Linked DNA regions of Rattus norvegicus. The protein of the gene in region 5 purifies or fractionates together with the protein of the main gene of each other region. This does not show direct contact. Links are inferred from orthologs where the notes say so. Each region holds a gene or a part of one and is shown on either strand. Other genes may lie near its edges. The genes, in order: Stk24, Strn, Cct2, Strip2, Ppp2cb, Tiprl and Ppfia3.

Region 1 (3,817 bases), on a different chromosome or scaffold from region 5:
TCTCTGAACTAATGAGCTCCTCAGGCCTATGCAGCCACACAGATGGACAGACAAACTCATCTTTAAAACATAACTTTTTGTAAATTTAAGTGGAAAACCACCTCACCAACATTAAGTCTATATTAAGTATCAAAAGAACATACTGATCTTTAAGGGCCTGAAATTAAAATTCCCGGAGGGAAATCAGGGTGTTGTAAGCCCGACAGCTACTCAGAGTTTTCACACGTGAAGCGTCACATCCAAGTCCACCATGTGGCTGAGGGTCAGGAGGACCGTGTTACACAAGGCGAGGGTAACGACTCAGCACGGAGCAGACCGGCACCCACGCTCAGGCCCACATCTCAGTCCTCAGGTGGTCAGACAGAGCTCAATCTCTAACCCGTCAACTCCCTAAGGGCAGATGCCAGCAAGGAGCTGCTTGGAGGGGCACCTCGTTTGCTCCCACAGCAGGCTTATTGTGAACGATTCCCCAGGGCCACTGGCTGGTAGGCACGCTGTACCTTATTTCTTTCCAAATCTGAGGGCTGAAGAGTTCCGTTCTCCAGATTCTTGGGGTCTTTCTCCCGGATGGTAAAGATCCAGTCCCCAGAGTCGCTGCCTCCAGACGCCTGGCTATCTGTCTCCCTTGGAATAGAAATCCCAAGTTCACCAGCACAGACAAGGCCAGGGGCTGCACTGCGCAGACCAATGACCCCCGGCCCCCCACCCCTGGCCCACCCCAACCACTGCCACTGCCACCTCCCGCACACAGTGGCCTCAGCTCTCCTCAGGATCCATCTGCCAATTTACTGTTCGTCTTTCTTGGGTCTCAGTGTCTCCACAGGTTCCTCCTCCTGGCCATGGCTCTTGTCTGTACTCTCTTTTGCTTGCCTGCCCCCCCCCCACCCCAGCTCTACCCCTATCTGCCACAGCTACATACACAGAAGCCCACCCCCAAAGAAGCAGGGTCCAAGAGTGTGCTGCAGGCGTGGGGAGCCCCACAGGGCGACTTACACATCTGAGTCCTCCGAGCTGGAGTCCTCGTGACTCTGCTCCGCCTTCCACCTCTTGTACCTGTCGATGAGCTCAGTCAGGTAGGACGTTTTCTTTGCATTGCGGATTATAAATTTGTGCTTCAATAACTCCTTAGCAGTGGGCCTCTGGAAAACACACGTCGACATAAGCAGGAGAGGAAGTTTCTTCTTCATCCCCCTCTAACAGACAAGACTTTTGGGTCAAAATGCCAGACCACCGTACCACGGAGCAGCCCTGGGTTCTGCTTCTGAGCCTGCTTCTGAGCCTGCTTCCCGCTCAGGCGTGCTGGAGAAGTCATCATACCTGTGCCCAAGTTTACAGGCACAAGGAAAAATGGCACAGAGTTTCCAACAAAGACTGAAGCATCCTACTAGAGCAGTTCACCAAAGCAAGAGAACTCCTGCGAAGAACTCCACAGAGAACCTTGTGAGTACTGTCTGAGAGAGTTCATCTTGTTTTTACTTGGTTTCTCATGGTAAGTGCTGGCTAAGGGAAATACGTGTCGTTATGATCTCCTCCGGTGTTAGACGAATACCAGAAACTGAGTTCACAGGTTCGACTCATCTATGAGGTAGGGGCAGGAGTCAGGAGAGACCTGACTGGCTCCTGGCTGGGTCCCCTCAGTCACCAGCACTCCCTACTTAGAAAAATAGGTCTATGAAGCTATCCCCACACTGGTGACTGGGACCAATAGCTTGATCCCCACCCAGGAATGGCACAACTCCCACCAAATGCACAGAGAGTTTAAGCCAGTGGCTCCCCCTACTGGCATCAGCTCCCGGCTGTGACATCCAAACATCCCAGTGTCCTCAGCTCTGGAGCCCTCGTGTCTGAAGGTCCAGGGTAAGCCAAGGTAGAAGGGGGCATGGTGGGAATGAACCAGCACTGCGTGTGCTTAGAAGAAAATGTACACACATTCGGATCCCTCTTACACTACACTCTGCAGCACCACGGCACAACAACCAACCACCAGGACTGACACCAAAACCACACCCACCATCTGATACCTGACCCAGTACCAAATGCTGACCTGCTGACCTCAGCCTGTAGCCCCTGGGAGCCGAGACTGGGTTGCCTGTCCTTTCTAAATCCTTTGCCAGAACTGGCTCCTACTGGGAGCCACATGATGCTCCTGTGAAATTCATCTTCTCACCATTTTAGACAAAAGCTCACGGGGACCCTCCATGATTATTCTTTGGGTTCAGTGAAGCCTTGGCCCAGCTAAACCCAAAACAAAGCTAGGGCACGGAGGGCTACATGGGACGAAACACACAGGCTGCCCCAGTTCTCAGAGAAAAATGAGGAAAGCTCAGAGTAGCTAAGGCCACAGGCTTTGCCACCACTGAGTAAACACAGAGAAAAGGCAGGGTGGCAGAGTGGGTGGCTCATGTGTACCTACGTGTCTGTCTCCTGGCACATGACAACTGGAAACTGAACATCTGCTTCCTTTATTTTGAGTCTATGCTCTGCTACTGCTGAAGTGGCTTTCTAGTTTTACAGCCTGATTTTTCTCTATCAATATTAAAAACTGATACTCCTACCTCACAATACTAAGTAAAATATTCTTCAGGCTCAATGAATCTAAGATAAAATAATTACATCTTAAATCCCTGAAAGGCAAGAAGGCAACATGGGCAACAAAAACTAGGCATCCATAATTAAAGGGACAGGGAAGTGGGGGAGCCCAGCCGAGGCAGACCAGCCTGGTCTGCAGAGAGTTCTGGGAGGGAGGGAGGGAGGGAGGGAGGGAGGGAGGGAGGGAAAGAAGGAAAGAAAGAGAGAGAGAGAGAGAGAGAGAGAGAGAGAGAGAGAGAGAAATTGAATTCATTTGCCAAGATTCCAGAGACCAGGGAGACGGCTGGAAGAGCAGCTGGCACAAGCCCAACAGAGGAAATGCAGACCAAGCCGACCCCAGGAAGGGCCCGCACTCACGAAGCTGGGCTCCTTGTTCAGGCAGGCCTCCACGAACTCCTTGAGGGGTCTGCTGTAGCTGCCCTCCAGCGTGGGAGGGTTGTTCTTTGGGATAAGGAACAGCACCTTCATGGGGTGCAGCTCAGAATGTGGCGGCTCGCCTTTGGCCAGTTCTATGGCTGTGATGCCGAGGGACCAGATGTCCGCCTGCAAGGACAAAAGCATCTTAAAGGCACGGAAAAGACCCACCTTCAGACAAGCACAAGGGAGGGGAAAGTACGTGTGCTTCACTCTCAGGTTCTGAAAAAGACCGTTATTCTGAACTACAAAACACACAAGCCCTTAGCATGATTTTAACATAGGAAACAAGTGGACAGATTTTATGTAGCAAATGCTACATAGAAATACAAAACTGCTCCAGTAGCGATGCAAACGGCCACGTCTACGGTAGACATCATGCCTGTGTCAGGTGTGCTCAGTGGGGACTTTGCAGCCCTAGCAGCAGCAGCCAACGGAGCAGATGAGGAGGAGGAACGGCGTCCCTTGAGCAGCACCTGGTGCCACGCACTTCGGTTCAGACCAAGTGAGCACCCTGGTCTCAAATCAGCTCTACAATCAGGGTCTTACAACACTAGACAAACAGCTTTCCCTAAGCCCATTGGTCCCCTTGATTTTCACAAGGGAGGTAGTTACAAGGGTGTAGGAAGGGACAACTGTGTATATTACCACTGTGCCTAGAAATTACAGCCTTTGTGTTCTGTTTGATTGCATTTGCAGTGGTGGGCACTGAACCCGGGGCACATGCTCTCCATCAGTGCTACCGAATGTTTATTACAACACACAGACATGGACAGCATTAACATAGTCATACATACAGCACACAACGGTAATC
Region 2 (3,817 bases), on a different chromosome or scaffold from region 5:
CACTAGATCAATTAAAAACATCAAAAAGTTTACACTGGGTAACAGAGATTTGAAAGGTGTCCTTTGGTTGTTTATAAATTAGTGTTTTATGACCAATTCAAAGCTTTAATTCATTTCCCCTCATCGCGGATCTGCACTTGTCCTCACGCTGCTTTCCTCAGGAACAAGTGAGACTGACAGTCGACCTCAGTCTACACTCCTTATCCTCAGTGCAAGGCGCTCACTGTCCCCAGAGAGGGACGCTGCTTCACTTGAAGCCCACGTACTCTAAGTCTAAATATGCATCTTAACACCCAGTGCAGGGCCTCCAATTGCTTCTGTTACCGGGAGTACTGTTCCAGTCAAATGGTGCAGCTTTAGATCTTAAGGGCTAAATCCCAACTACAATGCAGAGTAGATGAGTCACAGCAGGGGTGGCTACATTTTCAATGAAAAGATCTTTACAATCCAAGATACTCATTTTATAACGTAAGACCCAAAGAAATATAACCTGGAAATGTTTCTAATGGGCAGTACACAAGTTTTCCTCAACACTTTAGTTTAACTGGCTCTGACTTAGTCCTAAAAAGCAATAGCAAGCCATGTCTCAATATATCTCTTAAGTTTAGTGCATTGGAATAAAGGAATGAAACAGCCTTGCTTTAATGGTACCTTTCTCACTCTGATTTGATCTACTCTAAGATAACAGTAAACTATCTTATCACTCAGTGATTCTTAAACCTGTGCTATCATCACTAACGGACACGGAATTCATCGATTCAGAATTTATAAATTCTGAGATTTTAGTATTTAAATGTCTTAAAAATAATTACCAGATTGTAACCCAATGTCTGAAGGAAAGACTGCTCTGGATGTCTTATCACAATTGAAAAGCAAGAAAGGAATGCAGCATTTTTATCCTTCCAGTCTTTTGCAATTTATAAATACATTTCACACTAAGTTTAGATTTTAATCTGTTTATACTACTTTCACATCTCAAAGGACAAAATTCCTATTGCCATCAAAAGGAAAGCTCATTATTTACCATGTCAGTGAGTAGACGCACAGAAGGTGGTTTAATCTTACTCTCCCAAAAAGATGGTTTTTGGTGTTTTGAGACAAGGTCTCATATATCCTGGGAAGGTCTCTAATTCCTCGTATAGCTAACTCTGACCCTGACCTCCTGGTCCTACAGCCTCTCCCTCCAGAGTACAGAGATTACAGACATGAGCCAGCACACTCAGTTTATGCTCTTCAGAGATGAGGCCAGGGCTTTGTGCATGCATGCTAGGGAAACACTTTACCATCTGAGGTACATCCCCAGTTCCTAAGAAGCTGCTTAATATTATTCCCATCAAGGTTTTGATAGGATTTGCATTTCCTTAGATACATACTAGATCTACTGACAAACTTTTCATTTGCATAATGAGTTATATGATCCACAGGGCTAAAATTTCATTTTGCCTTCTGTTTCTGATGTGGCATATACTTTACTGAAACGAGGAAAAAGTTAATTGGTAATACTGCTATAAATTAAAGTGGCCAAAACAGTTAATCAGAAAACAGATTCTTTTAAATTGAATGTTTGACCGTGTGCCCTGTATAGCATATACAGATGAGAGCAAATGAACTTTGTGTTGGGAACACACAAGACTACTCAGGGGTAGAAATTAACTTTTTCTTATCTCAAGATCTGAAAGTATAAGCAACCACTTTGGTGACTGCGAGCAAACTGGGTTAAGTAAAATTTATATGTTTCGACCAGAAGTAAACATCTTTGTGAGTGGGCTCTCCTGAAGCCAACCCATCACTGTTCAAACGCACTGGCCGACATTCTCCCAAACCTTTCCATGTTTGTGAAAATCCCATATTCATATGTGACTTCTGTTTAAGTTCACAGTCAAACAGCTGCCGACTAATTTCAACCCCTGAGAGACGGTGAGAAGGAAAGAGGTGAGGAGCAGAAATGAAACGCTAGGAGAGCACTGACAGCGAACCGAGATGGGAGATGCAGAGGTGAACGTGTTTAGACAATGTTCCCACTTACTCTTCACCCCTTTCTTCCCCTTCCTCTCCTTTTTGTACTGCTCCTTCAGTCTGGTGATCACTCCCTGGTCCACATTCCAGGCCTCCGGCGTCAGACACTGATCTTCCTTTTCTAAACAGAGTGAGACAAACAGCCTTTCTTCAGTAGACTATCACATACAAAGGCAATGTGTGGAAGATACTGATTTTCTTCATGACATCACTCGCTTACACAAGTCATGCTTATACTCACATATGTGCACACAAAGCACACCTAGCAAAGATCAAGTCAGTGTCCTAACTAACAGAACATCTCCACTGAAGACGACAGAAGAGGTAAACCTGGTATTCCCTTAACTCCGAGAACGTTACAGCATTGCCAGTGAATTCCGTATCGCACAGGTACAGTGATAGAAGATTCTTATTAAGAGACTAAAAATCTTAATGGTGTTTCCGAGTTTAAGACAGGCCACTCAGGCCAGGCAGATCATCCTCGGAGGCGTTTCTTCTGCAGCAGACGGGAACAAACAAGACCCACAGCCAGACGATGTGCAGAGTGAGAGACTGTGAACACTCAGCCCTGAGTGATGCCTCCGTCAAATCTCTCCCCTTAGGGAACTCACAGGAGGAGGCAGAAAGAGTGTAAAAGCCAGAGGACATGGAGGACACCAAGAAAACACAAGTCCTCCAATCAGCATGAGCAAAGCTCACATGAACTCAGAGACGTCGGCAGCAAGCGCAGGACCTGCATGGGTCTGCACCACGTGCTCCGAGGATATACTATGGCTTCCACTTAGTGTTTCTGTGGGATTCCCGAATGTTCAAGAGTAGGTCTGTGATTATTCTGCCTTCTCTTGGGTTCTTTTCCTTCTGTTCATTTGTCTTGGCCGATTCAGATGTATTAGTCTCTGTCTAACATTATTATATTTTATTACTAAAATAGACCTTTTTAAAAAAGAAAATTATCAAAAGCAAAGAAAGAAAAAAGGGAGGCTTGTGCTTTGAGCATGTGGTTCTGATTTTATGAACAATGCTAGATCCACCACTGAGTACCATAGGAGCAAGACTCTTCACCTACAGGAAGACCCAGTGCACGGAGAGCACTTGATCAATATATTTATTGAATTATCATTGGAATTACCAGAAATCTATTTTGAAAGCAATTTAAGTTTACTCCAATTTCAAAAAGCATCTGTTAGATCTCTGATATAACATCTATCAGTAGTAGGAATATCACATTCTACCAGAAGGACTAATTTTAGAAAATGTTAATTTTTACTGTCTTTTTTAAAATGTTTATTTTATTTATTCAGAGAGAGAGAGAGAGAGAGAGAGAGAGAGAGAGAGAGAGAGAGAGAGAGAGAGCGCGCGCAAGAGAGAGCGCACACACATGGCCACAGCACGCATGGTCAGATGACACTTGCTGGAGCACAACTCCCAGGGGGAGGCTCCAAGATCAGACTGCGCTGTCAGGCTTGGCAGCAGGCACTTTCACTTGCTAAGCCATCCTGGTAGCTGTAAAGACTTGTAATTCCAGTCTGTAGGCACTCGCACCAGCAGCAGCAGTGATGGTAGGTCACAGACAATGTCAATTCACCTGCCCCAAGACCACTAGGCTCTTGACCCAGTACAATCAACCAGCCAACCATCAGCCGACCCTCACAAGATTTATTATCTACTTCCCTGAACTTATGCAAAATTCTGTGCTTTGAATTTTAATTATAAATCTTTAAAAAGTTTATTTTTGAGACAGGTCTTACTATGCAGTCTTAGCTGTCCTAGAACTCACTATATAGCAATCTGGCCTCAAACT
Region 3 (4,475 bases), on a different chromosome or scaffold from region 5:
TAAAACTTCTCAAAAATACAATATAGCTTAAAGAAAATTCATCAGTCCCGTATTAAAGCACCTCAGGACTAATGTCGCAGAGAACCTATCAATACCCAGAAACACACTGGCTAAGAATCATGTTAAAGGGATTAATAAAGCAGGTATGGAAACAGGCTTGTACTCCCAGCACTTGGGCAGTGAACTTGAGGCTAGTGAGAGCTAACTCTAGAGACCGGAGGCCGAGGGGAAGTGAAGGCCTAGCCAAGGTTCTTGGGTGGGTGGCATGGGTTTTAGCTGCTAGGATAGAGCAAGGTACCAAGATAATGCTCAGGGTTCTCTAGATTTCTTTCCCAAGGGGATTGCGTTATACCAACCCATGATCCACAGCTGAGCTCAGCAGGGCCTCTCTTGCTGCCTTTGTGGCTTCCCTCCAACCCGCAATGATGGTCTGTGGATGGATCTTTTTTGCAATTAAAGATTCCGCTTCCTGCCAATAAACAAGGCACATAAGAGTAACCGAGGATTTGACTACTGCTCAAACCACAGTCCCAGTACTAAGGTGGAATTGCCAGCCGCTCTTACCCGGAGTAGCTCTGCAGCTAAGACAGTAACAGAGGTGGTGCCGTCACCAACTTCATCATCCTGAACTCTTGACATATCTAGGAAAAAAAGCAAAATTATGCCTCCTTATCACTAAATTCTTTTACAACTTCCACAGCAAACCTACACTCCATTTATAGTATGTTCCAGATCTGACTTAAAGCTCTAAATACTTTAGCTTGAATGTACCTCACGAGTTCATGGAAACTAATCCCTGATCTTTTTTTGTCTCAGCACATTATGTCTTTTGTCACATTATGACAGAAAAAAAGACCTCACCAGAAAAGGGCCCACCGATCTTGGACTTGGCAGTTCAGCCAAAGACTCTTGTACCATTTAAAAACTACCTAGTCTGTGGTTGTAGCAGCCATACGGACTATGGATGACAATACTTCTGAATTTCATTTTAATACTGATAAATGCCAATATCTCTCATTTAAATAGTTAACACAACCTGCCGGGAAATAAATTATTAGAAAAGAATAAGAGTAAGTTTCAGACTCACCAACTAGAACTTTGGCTGCTGGGTTGTCAACACCGATGTTTTTGAGAATGGTGGCACCGTCATTGGTCACCATCAGAGAGGCATCCCGTCCACTGCTTAGAAGAATTTTATCCTGAAAGGAAATTTGTGTCAAACTAAGTACTTCCTGAAGAATACCTGCTGACACAGAAACCTCTGAAAGGTTCTTTGGCTACCACGTGCTTTGTAAACCTCACTGTGTAAAATCTTAGAAGTTCAGACAATACAAACTAGCTTTGCTACACCACAAGACTACGAAGCAGACAAATGTCCATCAGCAAAGTTCAAAGCACATCCCACAACATTATACGATAGTTAAAGTATAGCATACTAAAGAAAAAAAAATCACAATGGAACCCTTTCTGTATTAACCAAAAGATCAGTTAAAAACATTAGTACCAAGGCTATAAAAATCTGTTCACATAAAAGGAGGTAGCATGAACTCTGAAAACAGCACACTAAAAGCACATAGACATAAACAAAAAAATGGTATCTGTTATTTAAAAAAATGCATTGCAAAAAAAATGTAACATGACAAACTTATCTGTAAGTGAACCATTGCTACCAGGTTTTGCAAACGGTAACTCTTGCTGCCACTGGAGAGAGATGTGTGATTGGGGATGGTAATACAAAAGGACTTTTTCTAATTTAAAGTTTTAGATTCCAAAACATAAGGGGAAAAAATTATTACTAAATTTACACCAAAAGCTTTAAACCATTATTAAAACTTGTATTTTGGGGGGGTTGGGATTTAGCTCAGTGGTAAAGCGCTTGCCTAGCAAGCGCAAGGCCCTAGGTTCGGTTCCCCAGCTCCGAAAAAAAGGAAAAAAAACAAAAAACAAAAAAACGTACTTTTTGGCCAGCCACTACAACACAAGACCACAGGAAAAGCAAACAAAACTAGAAACAAAAGAAACTTCTAAAAATTTCTTATTTTTCTTACCATGCCCTTCGGTCCCAAAGTGCTCTTCACCAAGTCTCCAATGGCAATGGCACCAATAAAGGATGACTTAAAAAAGAAAAATCAGAAAAGGCGGTCAAAATTTACACTCACAAAGAGTTGGATCTTTCATTTAAAAGAAGCAGACGGGCTTACCAGGCGAGCTGTCTCTGCCCTCTCTTCATCAGCTCCAGCCTTGAAGATATTAACAGGTGCAAGGGAAAGGGAGGCCTAGAAGGAGAAAGTAACACACGCCGTTTGAACGCCAGTACTCGATAAGACACATCTAGGGCCTCTCACTAGATCGGTAAGGTTATCTAAAGGAAAACTGGTTTCCGATATAATTTCAGGAGTCAGTCGTCGGAGTGGGTATTTATTTAAATGGCGAGAGGGACGTTCTTGTAGGCGCCAGGAATAAGCCATCACATCAACCCACTAGTGTTTATGACAAAACTAAAGGCAACATTAAGGATGGGCAAGCACCAACCACCAGTTAGCTACCCTCCATCTTCCACAGGCCTGCACTGCCGCTCGCCCTTCAAGACCCGCCCCGAAGAGGGCGGGGCCGACAAGAGTAGCTAGAAACTTCTCCGCTAGGGCTAAGGCCGGGGGCTGGTCGAGGTACCCTAGATGAGAAGCTCTCATCTTACAAAGAGATGCTGGCTTAGGGCGCGCTCTCCCTTCCAGCCCCACGCAGAGAGCTTGGTCAGCGGGTCCCACGCAGGCCTCATGCCCGGTCCGTGCCATGTGCCGAGGGTCCATGAGACGGCCGCAGGAAGCCTGCGACTCCGGTTAGACAAGAGGAGCAGCGGGGAGGCGGGACACAGCAGGACCCGGGCAGGAGCCGAAGGCCTGGGCCGAAAGCTAGGCTCACCATGGTTCCGACGAATTCAGAGTAGAGGATAATCCCTCACAAGCCGCGCCGGGAAGCCAGCAGGGGGAAAGGAAGGCGGAAGTGACGACACGATCTGCCGCAGGGGGCGGAGCCGACCTGCGCGGGTTTCCGCCTCCTGCGTGGCGGGCTGCTCTCTGTAGAAGGGGCGGGGCCTCGGCTCGTGTTAGCCCAGTAGCGGAAATCATTGAGATGTGGGCGGGGCTAGGGGCGAGCTGATTTAGAATAGAACTGGAGAACAAAGAGACTTTGTACCGCGCGGGTTGCCACGGAAACGAAGTTCCTGCTTAACATACATTTTTAAAATTTAATCTTTCAAAATTTGTTTTAAGGTCAGTTGTACATTTTCAAGTGTTGCACACTAATCATTTCCATTATTTACTCGTCCCGGTAGCAACCATTCCATTTTTCGTGCTTTTTATTTTACTTTGGCAGGGTTATTTATCAATAGACTTCTAAATAATAATTTTTAGCATTATTATTATAAAGGAATCTTCATTTAACTTCTTAGACATGGTCTTACTGTGTAACTCTAGCTTAGCTTGGCCATCTGAGATCCTTCTACCCTGCCTCCACAGTGCAGGTATAAAAGGTGGGCGCCACTACTCCTGCAGTTCATTTAATTTTAAGACACTAATTGGATTTTAACTGCTCAGGACAAGCGCTAGTGAGTCTTAGCTGAGACATTGGCTCTAGTAGTCCAGTTCAGGTTTTCCTCATTTGTTTTCCCTCGGGGTAGGGGAGAGCCCATTATAACTCTTACATGACTTCTCAAAGATCAAGTCCGAAATATTTCAGCTTATTACAAATAGTTTTCTCGGCGCTGGTGAGATGGCTCGGCGCTTAAGAGCAGTATCTGCTCTTCCTGGGGTGCAGAGTTCAATTCCCAGCAACTACATGGAGACTCACAACCATCTGATGCCCTTCTGGCATGCAGGTAGGTGTACATGCATACAGAGCACTCATACATAAACTACATAATAAATCAGTTTTTAAAAAGTTTTCTCTTGGGGCTGGAGAGATGGCTCAGTGGCTAAGAGCATTGACTGTTCTTCCTGAGCAGAGGTCCGAGTTCAAATCCCAACAACCACATGGTGGCTCACAACCATCTGTAATGGGATCTGATGCCCTCTTCTGGTGTGTCTGAAGACAGCAACAGTGAGTGTACTCTTACACATAAAATAAATAATTCTTTTAAAAATATTAAAATGTTTTTCTCTTTGCTCTTGATACCTAAGGCAAAGCCCCAAATGATTGAAAAGAATGTTAGTTTTTCTTTTATCCATTGGTAACATTTCTCTCTTTGATCACTTAGTAAGTACCTAAATTTCTGATACTTGCCAACACTAAGGCATTTTCAATGTTTAGTTATATTTACCCTTAGATATAGTAAGTTCGGGCTGGCGAGCTATGGACAGTCAAATCTAGTTATCAACTGGTTTTTAAACATTATTTGTGAATGAGTACCTTGTTGCTGTGTTCTGACACACCAGAAGAGGGCATCAGATCTCACTACAGATGGTTGTGAGCCACCAAGT
Region 4 (2,685 bases), on a different chromosome or scaffold from region 5:
ACCAGTCTCTTAAGGGAAAAAGCCTACACAATACACTGTTCTGTAACATGCAGCGTTTTGGAGACAGTCATCCTTTCTAAAGATACAGTGCTCTCAAATCACCTTAGAATCAGTGATTATTTTATAAAGAGGTGAGCACCAACTTTTTAAATGTGAAATACAGTCTAAAGTTGGCTTTGCTAAATGACAAGTCCTAGGCATTTAGGGCGGGCAAGACGAAAAATCTCATTTTACGGCTGTATCTATTCCCCTGCTTGAGATGAACGTCATGGGCCAAATGCTGTAACGAGCTTCCCTTCACTACTGTGGCTAACAAAGCCAGCCACAGTAACAAAAGGCTGGCCTAGTTCTTGGCAAGATTAAAGCAGGTTTCAAAGTCTGTCCAGGACTGATCCACCAGGAGATGTGAAGGCCATCTAGGTACCTAGCTGAGCCGAGGACAAGTTGGTCCATTTGCTTTGACTCAGGATCCCACCCAGTCTTGCAACCACCTTCAAGCCTAATGGCACCCAGGATAGCCCTGAATTATGCTGTGTGTCTCTGCTGCATGCCAGGCTGGAACACCCCTGGACACACACTCCTGGGGTTCACGGAGAAGGCTGAATGGGTTCCTGGATCCAACCTCCATTAGTGATTCTGGAGCAGCTCCTCCCAACAGATGGGCTGTGAAAACACCTCTCTCTCCAGCCAGAGCTCATAGGAGTAATGGAAATCTTCAGGCAGATCCAACCTCTGCCCCAGCACACTCTGCAGGCAGTTATCCACAGGTGAAAATTCTGAGTCCTGCGGTTTATCATATCGGCGGCTGTTAAAGGCCTCGATGTTGGCCCTCAGGGTACATTCTTCAGCTTGGAAGTCCCATGGTCTGGCATCGATGTCTGACATAGGAAGAGAGGAAGAAAAAGATAGGTACAGCTCAGGATGCTACTCTTCCTCCATAGAGCATGGTCTATGGGATCCTAACAGTGAAACCGCTCAGAATGTTCTTTTAAGAGCAATGTATAAAGTAGACATATAGCATGCTTACAGGTTTTAAAAGTATTCATATGCTCACATATAAAACTATTATAACAGAAATGATCTTTGGCAGATTAGAAGCTGGTAACAGTAGTTACTGCTGAGAAAGGAGATGAGTTTTTATTGTAATCTCTTGTTTATTTCTTTCTAGTGATTTATTATAATTGTTAAGAGCAATTAAATTCCTCTTATTGAACTTTCCATAGTGGATTAAAAGGGGAGATTTTCTCCTAGGGAAGACTGGGGCAGAACATGAAGAATCATCAGTCTGGACCAACTCAGCCGGGCATGGTGGTGCAGGTCTTTAATTTTAGTATTTGGGGGACAGATGCAGGCAGACTAGATCTCAGCGTAGTCTATATAGCAAGTTCTAGGACAGCCAGGGCTATATAGTGAGACCATGTCTCAAAACAAAACAATAAAACTAAAACAAACAAACAAACAAAAAGTATAAGAAGGCAAACATTTTAGCACATCATAAAATTCGTATCATATTTAGGGGCTCAGGAGATGGCATGAGGACCTGACTTTGGATCCCTGACACCAACATAAAAGCCAGGTGCAGCAGTATGCATTTATAACCACCATGTTGCAGGAGCAGAGGCAGGCAAATCCTGGGAGCTCAGTGGCCAGTCAGCCTAGTCAAATTCACGAGCTCCTAGTTCACAAAGAATACCTACCATCTACTATGAGAGTACTCACCATTCCCATAAGCCCAGTCATCATTCATACGGTGGCGCACTTTCTGGTAAATGGCTGACATGGTCTTCATATTGCTTTTTCTCCATTGGCGCCCAAGGTACTTGGTTTGTATCTTTAGTAGCTTCAGGACATAAAGTTGTAGCATGGCCTGTTTGACTTTGAGAGCTCGCTTTAAGATTGGAGCTGACTTAAACACCACCAACATCTGCCCAGTGAAACAGGGACAGGGTAACAAACAGTCCGTCATCATGTGAACCCCTCAGGATTTCCTACTCAGACAATATAGACAAACCTGGCTATCCTAGGAGACCCTAGCGTCTTGAATTGAAACATAAAATTCAATTTATGTGTCCAGATTTTTAAATACTAGTAGCATATTACTTAGTAATTGTAAAAAGAGATGCCCATTTTTGTCTGCCAATAGTTTAAGCCCATGAATTTTAACTACTCTACATAAGAGTGAACTGTATAAGGAGGCTGAGGATAGCCTGGGGTGAGTGAAACACTGTCTAACACACACACACACACACACACACACACACACACACACACACACACACACCACATCACACAAATTAAGCCAGACATGATGGCACATGCCTACCATGCCTACAATCACCATATTCAGAGGCTGATCAGGAGTTCACAGTCAGTCTTGTGATATACAACAAAATGAAGAACTAATTAGTTTAGAGTTTGTAATATTCACACTGTGAAGATGGCTTAGCATTTAAGAACAAGTTGCTCTTCTGGAGGACCTGGGTTCAATTCCCAGCATCCTCATCATAGCTCACAACCATCTATTCCATAGGATGCAACGCCTTCTTCTTACCTCTGTAGGTACCAAGTATAAAGTGATACATATATAAACACGAAGGCAAAACACAAATAAAATGAATAAATCTAATTAAAAAAATTTAAATTATAACATATAATTCAAAACAAAGATTACCTGACATATATACC
Region 5 (3,817 bases):
GGCCTCCCAAATATTGGGATTACAAGCACCCAACATGCCCAGATTTAGAAAACACCAGATTGGGTAACTTGGATTAAGCTATATACATTGCAAAACTTAAAACACTGTTACAATCATCTGACTCAAGGGTTTGAGTAGGAGTATACAGATGAAAATGTTCTGACTGAAGCACTGGCTACAACAGACAATGGCTTTAACAGAACCATGGAGCTCTGGACTTGGCAATGGGCTCTGGCTCCTTCCGTCTGCGTCACGCACGAAGCCTTATCAGAGACGCAGACACCGTGAGAGGCAGGTCAATGTGCAGGAAAAGTACGTACTTCCATTACAAGCTGGTGAGCACGGGACACCAGTGTGAGGCCGTTGGCATGGTTAAATGTTTCAGAAATGTCTTGTCCAAATGTGTAGCCAGCACCACGTGGAGAAATGCCCCAGCCACCACGGTCATCTGGATCTGACCATAAGAGATCACACATTGGGCCCTGGACAAGGATAAAGAACAAATATATACTATGAGTTGTGTTTAATTGAGTTACCCTTCCCACACGTGACTACACTTTTTCCCTTAAAATCAAAACCAACAAGTAACTGCCAAATTTACCTCATGTGGAACTTCCTGTAAGCGATCCAGGGCTCTTATGTGATCCAGTGTATCTATGGATGGAGAGAGGCCACCGTGGAGGCAGAATATCTGTTTTTTAAATTGAGAAAAACATGTTTTTGACTTGTAATTGCTAAATTAACGAACAGTAAGCAATGGTGACAAGCGTCGGCCATGACAGCCTTTCCTTCCCAATGGTATTACTGACGGGAAGATTTGTGAGCTACAGCGCAAAGCAGGATCAGGTCACCAGCAGTAACCACAGCGGCGAGTGCTGAGGGCTCTCCTTTCCCCCGCTGTGGTCCGGGGTCTGAGGCCTCTGCATGCAGTCCAGTGCCTCCAGAGTGGGGCTGCTGCTGCCCCAGCACAGGATGCTCACCACCGTCACTGCGTCCGCTCACACTCCTGTCTCTCAACATCAATCCTCCTGACTCTGGTATTGACTACAATGAGCTTTTTGGTGTTCCTCAGATTTCCTGAGCACATCCCCACATTCACACACTTTCTCTATAGAGCTTATCACCTTTAATTCCTTCCTCATTGTATGATGTGGAAGACATCTCACAGAGGTCGGGGCAACTGTTAGGGTTTTCTCTCCTTACACTTTACTCACTGGGTCACTTCTGCACACCGAACTGTAGTTTGCATGTATATGCAGACCTGTTAGTGGGTGCACACAGATGTGCAGGCCTAAGGTTGGTAGTGGATGTCCCTCTTTGATCCCTCCACCTTCCTCACCAAGGCAGGGTCTCTTGCTTGAAAGCTTGCTGCTGGGGTTGGGGATTTAGCTCAGTGGTAGAGCGCTTGCCTAGCAAGCGCAAGGCCCTGAGTTCGGTTCCCAGCTCCGAAATAAAAAAAAAAAATAAAAAAATAAAAAAAAAAAAGAAAGCTTGCTGCTGTGGCTAGCTCACTCCAGGAATCCCATCTCCAGGAGAGGGGTCACAGGCGGGCACCGTGCCCTCCATGGCTGCTAGGTATCTAGGCACCAATCTTCATGGTTGCAAACAAGTACTTGATGTGTTTACAAATTAGGAAGAAGGTGTTGGTCACCCTCGGCCACCTCCCCAGTTGTCTTCCGTTCCTTTTATTGTAGACAGTGCACCTACAGGACTCTGACATAAAGTGGGATGATATAAGCGTTTTAAATTTTTTCTCAGAACTACCCTCTGTTCAAGGACTAGACTAAGGAAGAGAATAACGAGGATTTTCGTGAGCAGCTCATTGGCAGGGGCAATGTATGTGCTATGGATGTAGCCCAGGCTAACTTAGGCGTCAGCAGTTCTTCCCAGAGCTCCTGAATGGGTCTACGTGAGCACATCAGCCTTTTCTCCTGAGTCTGACGAGGTTTCTCATGCTTCCCTAATAGACAAGACTGTTAATGGATCTTCTAAAACATTTAGCACTATATGATTCTTAACTGAATTTTAAATCACTGATATAGGACACCCTCCCCACCAAAATCGGTTTCACTTTATCTTTCTGTGCCTGCGGTATCTGGTTGGCTACTGAACTTATATAGATAAAACATATGGCCACGGAAGCTCTGAAACCCGAGTGCTGGGATCATAGTCGCACATCATGTCTATCTGTGAGGATTTTCAAGTTTTCCATTTTTTCCCACCAGCTCCATGCTCCTTAAAGCCCCATATACTTGGCCTACAGACATATTTAAGGAGGCTGGCAGATGGCTCAGCACATGACAACTTCATTTTGCCGTAGGCCAACCTCCCTCGCTCCCCTGCAAATAAATGTATCAAAAATAAAATCTCCTAAACCCAAACCTAACAAAGCAGACCTGGTTCTAGATGGCTTGCAGTCAAGGCTTGCCACGCAGGGACTGGAGCCCAGCACCATGTAAGAAGCCGGGCACACAGCACTGCATGGAGGCTCAGTGCTGGGAAGCTGGAGACATAAGGGCGGCTCTGGCCAGGCTATCTACACGAATCAGTGAAAAACCCGTCTCACCAATCAACATGTACATCAACTGAGTTAGGACAGCAACCTCCAGCCGCCATAGGCTCGTCTGCACACACGTGCACATACAATAGGCAGATCTGATTGCTAGGTACCCATATACTGAACACCACGTGTGACCTAAGCTTGTCATTCCCTTCCAGGACTCTGTGCACCACTTGTTCTATCTACTTCATTTCTGAGGTGTTTGTGTCTTCCAGTGATAACACTTCATAAATGATAGCCTGTCACAATGGTGTGTGTATGCTGGCTGTTTTGTTTCTTATAAATACTTCAAAAACAGTAAAGACTAATGAGTTTGGAGAATGCTGGATAGTATAAGAAATACATAAGAGTTCTACCAATGTATGGACCAAGTTTAAAAATCAGATAGATGACTAATACTACTGTTATCTTTCTAAATTAATTTCATTACTTTAAAGCTAAAAGACTTTACTTCAATTACTTGAAAAATTTTAATAACTTTCATTCACATTAGCAAGTATAGGTAAAGTATTGTCATTTTAATTATTACAGTATCCAAAATTATACTCAGACTAGCAAGCCAAAGAGTATCCATTACACCTTCAAGAGTGCTGTGCTTTCATGGTTTCTCTGTGCAGCTGTCAGTCCTGGAACTAACTCTAGCCCAGGGAGGCCTTGAATTCAGAGATCCATTGTCTCTGCTGCCTGAGTGCAGGGATTAAAGACCTGCTAACATTCAAGTTTTATTCTGTGTGTTGTACATGAATTTAAATCAGCTCACTGTGCAGCCTCTAAATGGTGAACTAGGAAACCTGTGTAATGTCTTATATGTATGCCTTAAAACTTACTATGCTGGAAACAGAGATCCCTCTTGATAAAAAAGATATAATATACAATATTATGTTTGTAGTTATCATGAAAATAGGAATAAAAAGCTACTAATGGTAACCAGGGAACGTAGTAATATGGGCACAATTTCCAATTACATCTTGTGTTACTAATAATATATATGCCCCAAGACTTAAGCATTTATTTACACTGTTTTTGTTTTGTTTTGTTTTGTTTTGTTTTTTAGAGCACACATTAGGGCACACATCTTCTTTGGCCAGAAGACCAGAGGCAGGGGAAGCAGGGCTTGGTGACTGAAGCCTAGAACCCCAGCTACTTGGGAACATAAGGCAGGAGAGTTGAGCTGTGCTGAGAGTACGGTCAAGTCTGAGCCTGAGCAATTGAGTGAGACTCCCTCCAAAATAGGCATACACAAAACCCAAAACCCAC
Region 6 (4,311 bases), on a different chromosome or scaffold from region 5:
AGCAGAAACTAACACTTGCTGACAGGGCTCTCCTTCCACCCTGCAGCGGCCACAATGCTGGCTCACTAGACTCTCTGGGACACCTACATTCCTCCCTGGGGCCAAAATCACACTTGCTAACTAGACTCTCTAGGACAACTACATTCTCCTTGGGGCTACAATCAAGCAAACATTCAAATTGAATCAGATTTATACTTTTTGACTCAAATTATAAACTGTAAGATATCTACAAAACAACTCCAAATACAGGGAGGTTGGACTATACAAACTAATACTTATAACTTCTGTTATGATGGTGAAAAGGGAATACTCTGAGTGCCCAGTTAAAAATAAATGGTTATGTTTTTGTTTTTTCTCTGTGTAGCCCTGGCTCTCCTCCAACTCAGAGATCATCCATCTGCCTCTACCTCCTGGGTGCTGGGATTAAAGGTGTGAGCCACTACAGCCCAGACAAGGGGAAAACAAATAAATGGTTAAACAGCCAGGCATGGTGACACAAGCCTTTAATTCCACCACTCAACACAAGGCGGAGGCAGGCAGGCCAAATTCAAGGGCAGCCTACCTACATAGAATGAGATCCAGGGCAGCAGAACTATGTAGAAAGACTGTCTCAATTACCAGTAAATAAGCCAGATATGGTAGCTCATACCTATAGTCCCAGGTCCCAGTACTCAGGAGGCAGAGGCAAGAGGATCTCTGAGAGTTGATGTGGCAGCCTGATCTACATAGTTCCAGGACAGCCAGGGCTATGTAGAGATTTTGTCTCAAACAAACAAATAAAAAAAAATAATAAATGGTTATACAAATCTGTAACCATATGATGGAATACTATAAAATCATTAAATTATTTAGAGAAAAGATGGGAAAATATTCAAGATGTCATTAAGACTTTTAAAAACTGGGTCCATGGGGTTGGGGATTTAGCTCAGTAGTAGAGCGCTTGCCTAGGAAGCGCAAAGCCCTGGGTTCGGTCCCCAGCTCCAAAAAAAAAAAAAAAAAAACAAAACAAAACAAAACAAAACAAAAAAAAAAACTGGGTCCATACTCCATTTTATCTATTGGTAACTGAGGTTTCTACGCTGCATATGTTTCATATTTTTACGATGGTTGATAACAGTAAAATGGCACATTTTCACCATAAATTTAAGTAAAATTTGTTCTTAACTTTTAACGAATGGAAAATATTAAATGCCTAAAAGATTAAATACAATGAAAGATTAATATCCACAAGATGTGTCTGTAAAATACAGGTTTTAACTATTTTCCTGATTAGACCAAATATGAAATAATAAAGGCAGCTCCATGGGTTTTCCCAGTTTATCTGGAAAAACTTGCACAGTTACATAAGAGTCTCCGTTATTAAGGTAGGCTGCTTCAAATGCTGCCTTTCAACTCTATCACTGGTAATGTCTACTTGTTAAAGGCAAGGCATGACATTAGAAATGAGGTGTTTGGGCCCTGTTTAACATTCAGGGGACCCAGCCCCCCAACTAGGCCCACATGCAATGCAGGAAAATGCATACACAAACTAGTCTGAATTTATAACATTTGAAACAACTTATGTTTTTAAAAAATTCTTTTACATATGTAAATTTAAAAAAATGTCCTGTAGAGCCTCCCTTTTTCTTTCTATCCATCAATTGGCCACCAAACGTAAGCACTTAAATCTCAGCTTCTATCCTCTTTCCTGCTTACTGGCCTCCTTTCCAGCATCCCAGTCTGAACTCATCTTCTACACTTCCAAGAAACCTTTCAGACTCAACCATAATGCACGTGGAGTAAAACTACATACAGCAGGTGGCTATTATATAAAATCCAAACTTCTTAGCAAGACAGAGAACTCTTCAATGACGCGAGAGGCAACACTCTGTCAGGATGCCCCCCAAACTTTATCAAGATACAGTTTAGGCACCCCCAAACACCTCAGAGCTCACTCTGAGTGTCGGCTTTACACGCCATCCAGTCTCCAGACTTAATCAAGATTCTGCCCAGATGCACTGATCTCCATCCATCCATCCATCCATCCATCCATCCATCCATCCATCCATCCATCCGTTTACGTCCTCATCCTAAACAGCCACACAATAATATAACAGTCTCTCACGAAACTATGAATTCCTTGGGACTTTTATCTTTCATCTTCCCTATCTCAAGTGCTTATCACAGCACCTAATTTGCTAAAAGGAAAAAAGAAAGAAAAAAAAGAAAACCTAAAATCGCTCCGGCTATGTATCTTCATCCTAAACAGTCACACAGTCATTTAACGGTCTCACGAACTATGAGTCTGTGGTACTCAATGGATCATGTTCAGAACCTTAAGAGCCCACCACGGAACCAGACAAGCTAAAAGCAAAACATAAATATCATCTCTGTCATTGCCCGCAAGGAAACAGGTCATCCGCCCCCAGAAAGGTGGCGCAGGCTAAGGTAGGGAAAAAAGGAGAGGCGAAGGGTGAAGTCCACCAAACAGCCGCGCTCAGTTCAACCCTGCGGAACGACAGTTCCAGCAAGCGGAGGTCGCGAGCAGGGGACAGGACTATTTACTGAAGTTGTCAATCAACGGTCAGTCAGAGGGACCGAGCCTGAGGCCCTGAGAACCGCGCGAAGCTGCACCGAACCTGTCCGACCCCTACCCCCGACAATGATCCGAACCGGCCCGTCCTGGCCCGTCCCGGTCCAGCCCCGCCCCACAGCCTCACTTTTCCACATCCGCAGACTTCATGATGTGGGTCTTGGACGCGGTAAGCTTCCAAGGCCCGAAGGAGAAGTCCTGGTGGCTGCTCTGAAAGCCGTGGATCATCATGGCAGAAGCGGAGCCGCAGGGCTACTCTGAGCAAGCGCCTGCGGCAGCGGTCACAGTATGGCCCTCCCTGCAGCGCGGCTCCTGGGCGCGTCCGTTACCATCTCGGCCCCGCCCCCTGCCGCCGCGCCGATGGGCCCGCCCTTCCGCCGTCTCTTCCGCCCCTCCTGGTTTTACTTCCGGGACCAGCCACTAGCTCAGGATGACTCACGTCTTACGTGAAGACGCTAAGGGGCGGGACTTAAGCGCCTCGGTGTCGCTATGGTGGGCTGTCCTGAATTCTTCGGGTGACGTCACCCCAGAGTGGGTGTGGGAATTCGTCTTTCTGGATCCAGAGCCCGGTGCCTTACCTACTCCTTACAGACGTCGCCGAGCGATGTCATCACCTCTTGTGCTTAGGAGTCGCGGCGAAGAGGGCATACCCAAACGTCCCTAGTGTTTAGGAGGCCCAAAACCGACAGCGGCCTTTGAGTCAATGACTGATAGTGGCTCCGCCTTGCATCTCAGTGGAAAAGCAGCACATTACCGTGCAAGCCGCTGTGTTCGATTTTTAGTACTGCAAAAGGAACGGCAAAATATCCTTATGATATTTTAAGACTTTTCTACCTGCACACCGGCGTAGTGGAAACACCGCTGAAAGCCTGGTGCTCCCTCCGTGGTTGCAGTACAACCGTGCGCACCTTTGGGCTTATTTTAGGCTTCGGCTGCCTCAAAATGAGATGGTTTAATGTTAGAGCATCTCAAAACTGTTCATCTTAATTCCAGCAACCCCTCTTACTCCACAAATCATTCTCTCAGTGTTTGTTTCATCCACTCTGGAGCCGCTAAGCAGCTTCGCTCCGTGATTTCTGATTCAGTTCCTGCCTTGACTTCCTGAAGGTGTTAAGCCAAATAAACCTTTTCCTCCTCTGGTATTTTCTGTTTGTGTTTCTGTCCCAGAAACCCATCATCAATTTCCCCTGCCCACGGTCTCTGGATTAATTCATTCCCTTGGCCTCCTGTCCTTGCCTCCTATACAGTTACTCTATTTACATTGCTTATGCAAAGTAGGGCATCTCATCCTGAATGGTGGAGGATTGTCTCCCATCACTGGCCTACAGAGGTTGGCCACTGAAGCACTTCCCAAGGAGGCTGGGACCCTCTCACTAATGTTACATTGTGAACCTCACATTATCTAGATCTTCTAGAACACCTAATAAGGAGGTGAATGAGCAAATTACATGTAATGAATTCCATCCCCATTTCTTTCTGAAAGAGTTGCATACAGCCAGCCTAGGCTCCTCCTCCTCCTCCTCTTCCTCCTCCTCCTCCTCTTCCTCCTCCTCCTCCTCTTCCTCCTCCTCCTCCTCTTCCTCCTCTTCCTCCTCCTCCTCCTCCTCTCCAAGTGCTGGGAGTGTGTGTGTGTGTGTGTGTGTGTCACCAAGCCCAGCTCCATCCAACATTTTTACTACACGATGTCTTCCTTTGGATTTTTCTGCATGAGGGCAAGAAAAATGTATAGAATCTCTGTA
Region 7 (4,504 bases), on a different chromosome or scaffold from region 5:
CTCCAGTCACCACCCTATCCCTGCTGCCTACCCCAACCTCAGATACCCAAACCAGGCCAGCGATCTCAGCCGCCTTCAACATTTATCCCTGGCTCTTCACCAGAGGCTTCCAGACCTTTGACCCCTGTCATGGTAGCCAAGGCCCTGGGACCCTCTGGCTCTCCAATCCCAGAATCCCTGTGCCTGTTTTTCTGAACTGTTGTCTCCAGAACCCCACCCTTGAACATCTTATGCGTCCCCCCACCACCACCACTAAGCCTCCCCTTTGCCTAAAACTCCCTCTCCACACCCTCACAGGTCCTTGGAGTCTCGAGGCTGAAATCACAGAGCAGGACCCGCCTCCTCCCCTGTACAGTATTATTTATTGTCACTGGCTCCTTATTTAAAGATCTTTAACCCTCACCGAGTGTCTTGTGTGTCTATCGCGCATCCTGGAATAGTCTCTGTGGGGGAGGAGGACAGTGAAGCTGAGGTTAAGAACAAGCTCTTTCCAGTGTGTGTACCATGATAGACACCGCTCGAGCAGCTCTGAAGGCGGAGGCTGGCCGGTGTCCCAGAGACTAGACCCAAGGCTGCGTCGATGTGAGTGCCAGGGCGCAACACCAAGGACCACTGTCCCCAACCCTTAAGAGGTTTGGAAGGCCAAGGCCTGGCAGGTCCCCTGCTGTGAGTCGGACGCGGGAGTCTTGAAACGCAGCAGAAGCCTGATCATTGCCTCTGTAGGCGGGGCGGAGCGAACCATCCGCTGGGGGAACCCTGCGGGCCGTGCCACCGTCTGCGTGGGAGTCGGGGGTTGGTGGGGCGCATGCAGTTCCCTAGACGGGCGCAGGGGTGCAGAGTAACACGCACTCGCCACCCATCATCCACTCGCCTCACCTTCCAACCGAGCACATCCTTCCGGGAGCCGCCCTTGTCTTAAAAAAAAAAATCCCACCTTGAATGTTGAATTCCCATCCCGCCGCCCAGCCCTCGTGTCCCGTGAGACGCGCGCCGCCGCGGGGACCCGGGGTCGCGACTCGCGCTCCACGCTGCGCGCTACTAGATTCAGGTGACATCATCCTCTGCCGGACTCCGCCTCCCTCCCAGGCCGCCGCACGCTGCATGCCTATTGGTCGCTGCACCACGAGTCCCGCCCCCAGCTCTCCGCCCGCGCGGCCCCTCCCTCCCGATGAGGAGGCGGGGTCTGGTCGCCGGCCGGCACGGACGACAATTCTCATTGGCCATTCAGCGCCGTCCGTCAGTCTTCTGTTAAAGGGGCCACGACCGCCCGGGATCTGTGGGGGGGAGGGGGAGGGAGGAGAATTTTTTGGGGGGGAGAAGGTGGGATTTGGGGGGGCGCTGGTGGGCACCCCTGGATCTGGCGATTGCGGCCTCGCGGGGGGAGGCTGTACGGTGACAAGGGCAGGGGGCTATTTTAGGGAGTAAGAAGGCTGTGAGACCGTGAGGGGGAGGGGGTCCCCAGCGCTGGAGCCGGAGCAAGAGACGCTGAGCCCGCGCTAGCGGCGTAGACAGGGCTCCAGATCTCCAGATCCGGGCCCCGGCCGTCGCCAGGGGCCCCGCCCGGTGCCCCTACCCCACCCCGCGTCCCTCCTGCAGCCCAGCTCCTCCCGCAGTCGTCGCGGACCAGGTAGGTAAGAGCCCGGCCCAGCTTGCCCGGCAGCGCCCACCCTGGGGACCCCTGGGCTAACGTCTCCGACCCGCTGGCCCGAAATCCTACATTCCCATCTCCATCCCAAGGGAACCCAGAGTCCAGATTTCACAAGGCACCCCAAGAGACCCAGGCGTGTCCCTTCCCGGAGCTCAGAGTGCTCCGCTGAACCCTAGTATCTCAAGCGGGCTGTCTCCTTGTGCCTCTTCCAGGGCCCAGAAGCCTGGATCCCTCAGTTCAGCTCAGGGGACCCCTCAGTCTAGATCTCTCCTCTGGGCCCAGTCCTGGGAGCTCCAGACACTGGTCACCACTGTGGGACTCTCCCCATTGCGTCCAAATCGTTCCCCCATTTGCGTCCCCCACCTTCTGGTTGGAACAGCCGGCGACGTTCCTCGGTCCAGGCCGGCTCGCCCTGGACACAGGCCCGCGCCGGAGCTGTCCATGGTCAGCTCTCTCGGTAGCCTCGCCTCCCCCATCTCCTGCCAGGGCCGCCAGGGAGGGGGGTGCAGGTGGTGTGGGAATCCCTCCCCCTCACCGCGCCTTTGACCTGGGGATCCCCGCCGCCCCCTCCCAGCTGGGTCGCGGGGTTCTCAGGCCCATCTTTAGGCACTCTAGCTTTCTGGGACTCTAGCCGCTTCACTTACATAGAGCTTGTGAATGTCCCTGCCCAGTCCACTTAGAAACCTTGGCATGGAGCCTCCCGCTCCCACCTGGATCTAAAAAACTGTTAGTGCCCATATATCTGCTGGCCCTGACTAATCACTGTCATCTTATTCAGCACCTGGGGGATCCAGTTCCCTAGCCTTTGCCCACCCCCTCCCCACTTAGCACTTACTTTAACAGCTCCCCCAACCCCCCAAAGACAAATATGTCCAGCCTCTTGGTACACCAGCACCTGCTTGCTGCCTTATGGACTCAGGCGCCATGGCTTCCTTTCAAAGACCTGGAATACATTCTATCCTCACTCCCCCTTGAAGATCTAGGTGTCTCACCCCCATCTTGTAACCTCCACCAGAACAAACACACATCTCAGGAACCCAGAATCTCACTGTGGTGAGTGTCCTGTCCAACAGACCACCCACCCAGGCCTACACTCCCATCAAACATCCAGGCTCTAAGTTTCTTCACCCCCAGGTGGATTCAAAGGTCTGGACCCTGGCTTTGCATCCTCTCCCATCTTCAGGTCTTGGTGGCCTCAGTGTTCTATGAACTTTACATCTTCTTTTTTTTTTTTTTTTTTTTTTTTGGTTCTTTTTTTCGGAGCTGGGGACCGAACCCAGGGCCTTGCGCTTCCTAGGTAAGCGCTCTACCACTGAGCTAAATCCCCAGCCCCACATCTTCTATGGCTTTAACAAACACTCATCTGTCCTATCGTCTGAGGTGCTAGACTTCCAGAGTCTCCTCTCCCCCCAAAGCTGGATATTTCTGCCATCTCATTGCCTCTAGAGACCCATCTGGTAATATCTGATGTCTCATACTCCAAGTACCAAACAGCTGTCCTTTCTTCTAGGTGTGTTCTGTGATCAGGGTTCATCAGGTGATCTGGGACTTGCCAGCCATTTTTTCTGCATTTCTAGTTAATAATGAGTCCTTTCCTTGTGCTGTGTTCAAGAGTCTAAGTTCCAGAACATTTCCAGATGATACACTGTCCTGTCCTCATCAAGGCGTGTGATCTACATTTAATGCCACGAACTAAATTCTAGGCATGTCTTTTTTCACTTGCTCCCTTCACATCCCAGTGTCAGGATTTTGCCATGCATCCTGGGCTGCATTAGAACTCACTATGTTCACTATGTTGTGTATATTTTTTTCTTCCTCCTCCTCCTTTTTTCTTCTATTTCTTCTTCTTCTTCTTCTTCTTCTTCTTCTTCTTCTTCTTCTTCTTCTTCTTCTTCTTCTTCTTCTTCTTCTTCTCCTCCTCCTCCTCCTCCTCCTCCTCCTCCTCCTCCTCCTCCTCCTCCTCCTTCTTCTTCTTCTTCCTACTCTGGTCTTTACAAATATCTAGATAACATACCTAAGCTACTTTCTGTTCTCAGTCCTCTCCTTGGATATGTCCTATATTTCTAGCTATTGAAGCTGGGGTTGTTGCTGGGGTAGAGCACTTACCTCACACACACAAAGTCCAGGGTTCGATTACTAGCACTAGACCAATAACAGAAAGGTCTCACTCTACTCCCACTCTTAGAGACTAATATCTCCTGGGTTTGCATTTTAGATGTGTTTTATGTTCTGGCCACATCTGCTGTTGTTCTAGATTTCCTTCCTCCCATGGATATTCTAACTTGCAGAATGTGTTGTTTTCAATGAAATAGTCTAGTAGTCTTTGGAACTCTAGCATGCACAATCTTATTTTTTAATTGATGATTTATTTTTGTTTTATGTGCATTAGTGTTTTGCCTGCATATATGTTTGTACAAGGGTGCCAGATCCTCTGGAACTGGAGTTAGACCATTGTGAGCTGTCATGTGGGTGTTGGGAATTGAACCTGGGTCCTGTGGAAGAGTAGTCAGTGCTATTAATGGCTGTGTCATCTCTCCATCCCCCATAGCTTGCACAATCTTAAGCCTGGAAGGTTCCAGTATCTTTTGAGCCTCAGGTTCTAGGTCCCTGTCACAGCTTCTGTCTTTTCCTTTCTATGGCCTTAGCTTTGGTGTCTGTCCTGTTCCCTGCTGGATCATAGGCGTCAGCTCCATCTGCTGTCTTGGCATTCTGAGCCTGTTCTAGACTCTCGCTTTTTCTAGAGTCTTCAGCCTCTGGAAAATGTTCTTGGTTCCTAAACAGACCACCCCCATCAGTTAGAGGATCTCCCCCCCTTTGATATTTAGTGTATTTTGTTTTACTGTACATGTGCGTGCA

Evidence for each region.
Region 1: the proteins of Ppp2cb (region 5) and Stk24 purify together in Homo sapiens (affinity purification with mass spectrometry; 5 studies listed by BioGRID and IntAct, with this or other methods). This does not show direct contact. The link is inferred for Rattus norvegicus from reciprocal best matches to the Homo sapiens genes PPP2CB and STK24.
Region 2: the proteins of Ppp2cb (region 5) and Strn purify together in Homo sapiens (affinity purification with mass spectrometry; 5 studies listed by BioGRID and IntAct, counting the BioPlex papers as one, with this or other methods). This does not show direct contact. The link is inferred for Rattus norvegicus from reciprocal best matches to the Homo sapiens genes PPP2CB and STRN.
Region 3: the proteins of Ppp2cb (region 5) and Cct2 purify together in Homo sapiens (affinity purification with mass spectrometry; 4 studies listed by BioGRID and IntAct, with this or other methods). This does not show direct contact. The link is inferred for Rattus norvegicus from reciprocal best matches to the Homo sapiens genes PPP2CB and CCT2.
Region 4: the proteins of Ppp2cb (region 5) and Strip2 purify together in Homo sapiens (affinity purification with mass spectrometry; 3 studies listed by BioGRID and IntAct, counting the BioPlex papers as one, with this or other methods). This does not show direct contact. The link is inferred for Rattus norvegicus from reciprocal best matches to the Homo sapiens genes PPP2CB and STRIP2.
Region 6: the proteins of Ppp2cb (region 5) and Tiprl purify together in Homo sapiens (co-immunoprecipitation; 3 studies listed by BioGRID and IntAct, with this or other methods). This does not show direct contact. The link is inferred for Rattus norvegicus from reciprocal best matches to the Homo sapiens genes PPP2CB and TIPRL.
Region 7: the proteins of Ppp2cb (region 5) and Ppfia3 purify together in Homo sapiens (affinity purification with mass spectrometry; 3 studies listed by BioGRID and IntAct, with this or other methods). This does not show direct contact. The link is inferred for Rattus norvegicus from reciprocal best matches to the Homo sapiens genes PPP2CB and PPFIA3.

What each region holds. Positions count from the first base shown.
Region 1 is NC_086033.1:104,778,603-104,782,419, forward strand, and holds part of Stk24 (serine/threonine-protein kinase 24), read right to left. Parts: intron 3,133-3,817; coding exon 2,947-3,132; intron 1,140-2,946; coding exon 994-1,139; intron 625-993; coding exon 501-624; intron 1-500. UniProt on the Homo sapiens protein: Serine/threonine-protein kinase that acts on both serine and threonine residues and promotes apoptosis in response to stress stimuli and caspase activation.
Region 2 is NC_086024.1:22,149,922-22,153,738, reverse strand, and holds part of Strn (striatin), read right to left. Parts: intron 2,138-3,817; coding exon 2,027-2,137; intron 1-2,026. UniProt on the Homo sapiens protein: Calmodulin-binding scaffolding protein which is the center of the striatin-interacting phosphatase and kinase (STRIPAK) complexes.
Region 3 is NC_086025.1:54,588,429-54,592,903, forward strand, and holds the start of Cct2 (T-complex protein 1 subunit beta), read right to left. Parts: upstream 2,978-4,475; 5' UTR 2,923-2,977; coding exon 2,920-2,922; exon of another isoform or gene 2,777-2,919; coding exon of another isoform or gene 2,696-2,776; intron 2,277-2,695; coding exon 2,202-2,276; intron 2,115-2,201; coding exon 2,049-2,114; intron 1,200-2,048; coding exon 1,088-1,199; intron 642-1,087; coding exon 565-641; intron 470-564; coding exon 357-469; intron 1-356. UniProt on the Homo sapiens protein: Component of the chaperonin-containing T-complex (TRiC), a molecular chaperone complex that assists the folding of actin, tubulin and other proteins upon ATP hydrolysis.
Region 4 is NC_086022.1:59,541,451-59,544,135, reverse strand, and holds part of Strip2 (striatin interacting protein 2), read right to left. Parts: intron 1,925-2,685; coding exon 1,720-1,924; intron 879-1,719; coding exon 628-878; 3' UTR 1-627. UniProt on the Homo sapiens protein: Plays a role in the regulation of cell morphology and cytoskeletal organization. Required in the control of cell shape. Calmodulin-binding scaffolding protein which is the center of the striatin-interacting phosphatase and kinase (STRIPAK) complexes.
Region 5 is NC_086034.1:65,265,126-65,268,942, forward strand, and holds part of Ppp2cb (serine/threonine-protein phosphatase 2A catalytic subunit beta isoform), read right to left. Parts: intron 692-3,817; coding exon 602-691; intron 483-601; coding exon 321-482; intron 1-320.
Region 6 is NC_086031.1:80,082,193-80,086,503, forward strand, and holds the start of Tiprl (TIP41-like protein), read right to left. Parts: upstream 2,849-4,311; 5' UTR 2,804-2,848; coding exon 2,700-2,803; intron 2,633-2,699; exon of another isoform or gene 2,211-2,632; intron 1-2,210. UniProt on the Homo sapiens protein: May be a allosteric regulator of serine/threonine-protein phosphatase 2A (PP2A). Isoform 1 inhibits catalytic activity of the PP2A(D) core complex in vitro. The PP2A(C):TIPRL complex does not show phosphatase activity.
Region 7 is NC_086019.1:104,979,266-104,983,769, reverse strand, and holds the start of Ppfia3 (liprin-alpha-3), read left to right. Parts: upstream 1-1,491; 5' UTR 1,492-1,627; intron 1,628-2,011; exon of another isoform or gene 2,012-2,457; intron 2,458-4,504. Other genes in the region: Lin7b (protein lin-7 homolog B), read left to right, coding at 298-319. UniProt on the Homo sapiens protein: May regulate the disassembly of focal adhesions. May localize receptor-like tyrosine phosphatases type 2A at specific sites on the plasma membrane, possibly regulating their interaction with the extracellular environment and their association with substrates.